Linked DNA regions of Nothobranchius furzeri. The protein of the gene in region 1 binds, or shares a complex with, the protein of each later gene. Links are inferred from orthologs where the notes say so. Each region holds a gene or a part of one and is shown in the gene's direction. Other genes may lie near its edges.

Region 1 (2,359 bases):
ACTAGTCTCCAGTGTTAATGAAGTGACTGGAGGGTAAAGTTGTTAACAGGGATGCTGCATCCTGTCTGAGATGGGACTTATTTGTTTTAGAGCTGGTGGACTCCACACAACCAAGAGAGTTGATGATGTGCTTTTTCTGTTGTTTTCTTGCCTTACAGGTCATGCTATATTTAAACTCACCTATCTGAGCAACCATGACTATAAGCCTCTGTACTTTGAGTCTGATGCTGCTACGGTCAATGAAATAGTGCTGAAGGTGAGTTTTTTCTGACTCTGACTGTAACCTGCTCCTGTCTGAGGACAAACACTCACATTTCTCTACTGCTGTGGAAGAAACTCATTGGTTTAAATTGTTTACCTAAATGGTAAATGGCCTGTGTTTGTTATAGCGCCTTCTAGAGCCCTGGAACCCCCCAAGGCGCTTAACAACACAATCAGTCATTCACCCATTCACACCCTGGTGGTGATGAGCTACACTGTAGCTACAGCTACCCTGGGGCACACTGACAGAGGTGAGTTTGGTCCCTCCAACCACCACCAGCAGCAGGCAAGGCGGGTTAAGTGTCTTGCCCAAGGACACAGCGACAGACTGAGCGGGGCTCGAACCTGTAACCTTCTGATTACGAGGCGAGCACTTAACTCCTGTGCCACTGTCGCCCCAACAGGAAGTTGAGCCCAGGCCTGACAGATGTTTACAGTCTGATGTCTGTGCGTCCATTTGGAGCAACTCTTCAACACTCTAATTCAGTTAGGCTTTTTTATCACATGTTCTTTAATTAAAAACGTCCTTAATGAACATAATGGACAGTGATATTTGTAAATGGGACTGAAATGCTGCTTTCACCAAAGTGCTGCAGCTGGACTCAGGTCAGAGGAATGTTGCAGCTCATGGTGATAATCTGGTTCACCAGAAAGTTAAAAGAATAATTATTTTCCTCATTATTTTGATTATTTGTTTAGTTTGAGGTTTTCTGAACCTTTGAGGATAACCAGTGGTGGAGTATTAAAGTCCCACTCTGGCTGTTTTTGTTGAAACCACTTATGTCAAATGTACCTTGAGTGATTTTCATAAAAATGCCGTCATCCATCATCCACAGCATCCCTAAATATCCGGTTCTTTCTGCTCTGGGAGACCATTTTCCAGTGATGGAGACGGTTCAGATGTGATATTCTTGAATAGATATCTGAGCAGAACACATTCCATCATCACGCCATACATGCTATGACTGAAGCAGTTTTGTGTTTTGGGGTTTGCGTAGGTTAACTACATCCTGGAGTCTCGGGCCAGCACCTCTCGGGCTGATTACTATGCCCAGAAGCAGAGAAAGCTCAGTCGTCGGACAAGTTTCAGCTTCCAGAAAGAGAAGAAGACGGGTCAGTAGACAGAAGCTGCTGGTGCAGACCTTTTCCTGACCATCTGTCTCTCTGATGCTCCTGATCCGGAGCTGGAGACCTACAGGATAACAGGCAGGTTTTCCTGCTTTCGTTGATCCAAGCTGGAGTCTCTGAATCTCCGCAAGGGAGCAGATCACGTCAAAACGGAAACTTAATTTCAACAGACTGAAGAACTGTGGACAGTTTGGCTGTTGTGTAGCAGTCAAGTATTTTGTTCTCTCACTGCCTCTGTATTTAAATTCTGTCTTTCAAGATGTATTTGTAAAACTTCTACAAGTTGGTCGAGTTAGCCCAACAAACAGATCACAGCTACAGGCAAAAATCTGCTTCTGTTCCTTCTTTAACCCACTGGAGTGGGCCTGTTTTTATGTACTGTTTAAAAACATTTTCTATTCAGGAAATGAAATATTACAAACCATACTAGCTCAACTGCTTTGAATTACCTTCTTTCTCCAGTCCTCCTTCTGAAAGCATCGTTTTAACCATCTGGTACCTGCACCAGACACCTGGGTTATTTCTGGCCCTACGCTTTACCATCACCTACAAAGCTACTATTTCTTTTCATGAAAATTAATTAAGAAGCAGCTGAGATGGGTTGGAGAAGCATGAGATAACCCTGCAGCTAACTGGCGAAAACTTTTGCTCATCATTTTAACGGATGTTTAGAATCCCAGCGAGGGTTTAAAGGCGATCTGGAAAGTCTACCAGTAGTGTTAGAAATGTGTTGCTTCCATTGACAGCCCAGTGAGAGACTGGTTTAACTAAATGCTTCCAGACATTTGGAACGAACTAAAGACAAACTCACTGAGACTTAATGAAAATGAATTCAGAGGAACAGGACATAAACGGCATTTTTAAATTTTCCAACTGTCTGTAGAGAATGACACCAGTAATTTTATAATAATCCCATGTTTAATTAAAATAGAGATGTTTTGATTCGATGACCATGAAGGTTCAGTACAGT
Region 2 (3,731 bases), on another chromosome or scaffold:
ATACGACCAATTTAAAGGGCAAAAATATCCTTCACATCGTTAACTTGCAGACTTAACTGCCATGTTTCTGTGAAGAGACCTTCAGCAGGTTAACACTGCATGTTGACTGTTACTATGCAGTTTAGTCATTTTAAGTCAAGTAAAAAAAACAGCCATTTTGCTTTTTGTAAACATACTGTAGCCTAGGTGTAATGCAGCAAAAGTTGTGGCAACTGCTAGAAACCTTCAAGTTTAACCAAAATAAATGTGTTCATCCTAACAATTTATAGCATCAAGAAAGCAAAATGGGAACATTACTAGGCTAGTTTGCAATACTTCATTGCCAGATAGCTAAATATATCTTTGTTGCATTAAAGTAGGTTGTATTTGTGAAATAAATTGGGAATGTTTTGGCTTTCATGGGCAAAATATCCAGTGGTTTCCAAAGCTAGGGTTGGGATCCTGCTGTGGGTCACCAAGAACCACATGGGGGGTCTTGAGACAATTTCCAAGATTGCTGAAGCTATATTATTTATAATAACTGTTACAAACCTTAACTACATTGTCATAAATGTATATTACTGTACATGAACTGAAGCAGTTTTCTTATGCCCTAAATTATTAAGCTTTTATGCATGGTTTAAAATCAGATATTTGTGGGTCACATGTCTTGACAATTGCTACTTTGAGGGTCTGAAGCTGAAAGATTGGGAACCATTTGCTTAGAAAACAGTTTGGATTGTTCATAAATATTAGATCACACTACTTAAGTCAACCCTTACTAGTTTAATCAATTAATCAAAGAGAAGCAGTCAATTGTCAAAGAAAATGTGTAAATATATAATACTAATCCACAATAATAAAGTGTCATGGTCTTAATCTGGCATGATTGAAATGGTCATAAACTCTACAACAACTTTACTTTCATGTGTTTTTGGATGAAAAGAGGTTAGTGGTGAAATTTGATTATTGTGATTAACCCCGTCCCCAGATCAGATTGCTGTTTTTATATCCACAAACAACAGAGGGACTTTGAGCAGAGGGGTCTAGTCTCAGGTCTGCTGGGTCTGTCCATCGACATTAATACCGTATATAGTTTATACTGGGTCTGTCGTAGCCAGTTTGCAGACGACGTCTTTGATGCGTGTATTGTCGCGAGATTCCGCGAAGTTTCCGGTGTTGTGTGTACTGTATGTTCCTGGAGACATGGCGGCCAGCTTCCGCGGCCGTCCTATACGGAGTCTTCGGATGCGAGGTAAGCTTGAAAAAACTCTGTTCAATGACAGGTGTAACAGCGGGAATCTGCAAAATAGAAGACCCCATACACGCGATGAGCTTGGAGTGATGTGTTTTTGTGTACACTGTGTGTGTTTTTGTCAGGTCGGAATGACAGCGGGGAGGAGAACGTACCGCTGGATCTAAGCAGAGGTAATCAGCGATTATTCTTCAAAATGGATCATCATGGCACTTTGCTGTAAACACTGCCCCATTAAACGAAACTCAAACCATGACGTGCATATGTATTTTTATTTGCAATTCTTACTTAGTCAGTTTTCCTTTCTGTTTCGTGTAAAAACATTGCTAACTAGTCATAACAACGGGCGGTAGCGAGCTAACAAACGAGCTGGATTAGCTGCCACAGCTAACCAGCCATGACGACGCGCTGTTGTTTTGATCGGTGCTAGTAGGATACAGAGCCTGTTATTCAGCCAGACAGCTCATGCATCGGTCATCACTGACTGCACGAGGAACTGGGTGTACTGGCTGTTTGCTAAGTAGCACATATGGCTGCACAGGCTGGTTCTTGAGCTACAGCCTCTCAGCCGGGTCAGAAACACTGCTCCAGCAACAACACCGGTTTGTTTACACGGAACACTCGTGAACAGCATCATCCATCAGGATTTTGTTGTATCTGCTGACATAAGGAGCTGGAGGCGTTTAACATATGAGATATCAGTGACGATAGTTTTCCTCTGCAGGTTTTAAACATATATATCTTGAGGGCCAAAATACAAAGAGGCCATGTTTCATATCAAGTTTCCGTGTAAAGAACTTCTACTTATGGCTAATTTGCAGTCAATGTTCTTGCTTAGTATTTTGAGAAAGTTACAGTTTATACAAAAACAGCAAATCTTCCTAAAAAACTTAAAGCAATGATACAAAATGAGCAGGAGACTAGAAGAATGCACAGATAAATGAGATTTCATGATACCTGAGAGTGCTAACTGACATGAAAGCTCAATTATGAGTTACTTTTTTAATTGTAGTTTGCAAACTGTTTCTTTGTGAGGATCTTTCAACAAACACAACAAACTACAGTCTACTGTTATTTTTGTAGCTGTTTCTAGGCTTTTACAGTAATTTCACTATCTCTTGAACTAAGTTATTAATAGGTAAAGGAAAGTGATTAAAGTAAACAAAAATATCAAATCTCAATAGATTATACTTTTTGTTTTGTACTTGTATTCAGCGCTTGACATCATAGATTTTAAGATTGATTGGGTTGCTTGACTCCAAACTGTTAAACAATAGAATGTTCAACAGAATCAAAGCATGCGTAAATAACACTTGTCATGGGTTAAAATGATCTTTAAAAGACACAAAGCAATTGCGATTAGCTTTGATTAATCTGGATGGTTGGCACTTATCCTGCCCTGAAATTGAAATAAAAAAAAAACCACCATGCAATGCTTCTAAAATGATTTGCATGTACACTTTTCTACTAATGCATTGTTACAAATAGGGAAACCAAACTAAGTCTGTGCTCTAAATGAAGGATTATTATCTGAAGTTATTGTCATTGCTCTTTTTTTCAAATCCACCTCTAATATAAGATACTTAAATATATATTTGAATGGGCATCAAATCAAACTGATGAGTCTGTATAACATATTTTCTTTCTTGATATTTGGTTGTACATGTTTGCTGTTTTTTAAAGTTCAATGAAAAGTAAACAACATGAAATTCATAGATTTATTGTGCATGTTTGTTTTAATTCATAAAATAAATCAACCGTTTGCAAAGTCCTGAAACCTGCTAAGCTATTGTGGAGTTGTTCTAGTGGACTTGGTGTATGTGAATAAATCTGTAAAGTGGTTATCCTGATGTATTTTTAGTGTCTGGAGCTGCTGGAACTTTTCCTGGGTTTCACAATATTTCAATGTCAAGTTATTAATCCTTCTTGCCAATAGAGTTCTCTGTTTTACAGCCACATTCCTTATGTCAATAACATTGTGGTCAGCACATATAAATTGGAAGGACGTGCAAACCAAATGCTGACCTGCTCACATCTTGCTCTTTTAATTGCGTCTTGTTTTGACTGTACACGCTAAATGAGCTGGACCGTCTTCCTTCCTGCAGTGAATCAATTACTGATACTATACCAGTATGGCTTCACACTTTGTTACGTTGCATTGTTTTCTTCTTCTTTCCCTTGCAGAACCATCTGAAAACTTCCGTGAAATTCTCCAAAATGTGGCCAAACCTCATGGAGTCAGTAACATGCGAAAACTGGGCCACCTGAACAACTTCATTAAGGTACTACTGCAGATCTGATGGTCCAAATCCACAGTTTGTGTAATCTGTCTAAACAGTGTTGAAATGTAGTTTTCAACCATTCTCTAGCCACAGGAACTTTGTGATGCTAAATGACATCTGTATGTTTCTGAAAGTTATACCAGGGTGTAGATATTATGACCACAAAGATGGTGTACCGAAGTTTGCTTGTGTGTCAGTAAAATTCCCACCTAAAA

Evidence for each region.
Region 2: the proteins of mapkap1 (region 1) and rapamycin-insensitive companion of mTOR are in contact, whole or in part, in a cryo-EM structure (PDB 7PE7), measured with the Homo sapiens proteins. The link is inferred for Nothobranchius furzeri from reciprocal best matches to the Homo sapiens genes MAPKAP1 and RICTOR. Residues at the interface, in NP_001006618.1 of Homo sapiens: Ala2, Phe3, Leu4, Asp5, Asn6, Pro7, Ile9, Ile10, Leu11, Ala12, His13, Ile14, Arg15, Gln16, Ser17, His18, Thr20, Ser21, Asp22, Asp23, Thr24, Met26, Cys27, Met29, Val30, Leu31, Ile32, Asp35, Val36, Ser84; in NP_689969.2 of Homo sapiens: Arg108, Gln137, Glu140, Thr144, Leu147, Arg148, Arg151, Lys152, Thr155, Arg182, Met183, Arg185, Ala186, Ala189, Cys192, Glu193, Leu196, Leu220, Arg222, Ile223, Glu225, Ala226, Leu227, Thr229, Thr230, His233, Asn236, Arg293, Trp295, Glu844.

The regions. Positions count from the first base shown.
Region 1 is NC_091746.1:37,017,363-37,019,721, forward strand, and holds the end of mapkap1 (target of rapamycin complex 2 subunit MAPKAP1), read left to right. Parts: intron 1-158; coding exon 159-256; intron 257-1,259; coding exon 1,260-1,382; 3' UTR 1,383-1,824; downstream 1,825-2,359. UniProt on the Homo sapiens protein: Component of the mechanistic target of rapamycin complex 2 (mTORC2), which transduces signals from growth factors to pathways involved in proliferation, cytoskeletal organization, lipogenesis and anabolic output.
Region 2 is NC_091757.1:36,632,769-36,636,499, forward strand, and holds the start of rapamycin-insensitive companion of mTOR, read left to right. Parts: upstream 1-892; 5' UTR 893-1,119; coding exon 1,120-1,234; intron 1,235-1,359; coding exon 1,360-1,407; intron 1,408-3,418; coding exon 3,419-3,516; intron 3,517-3,731. UniProt on the Homo sapiens protein: Component of the mechanistic target of rapamycin complex 2 (mTORC2), which transduces signals from growth factors to pathways involved in proliferation, cytoskeletal organization, lipogenesis and anabolic output.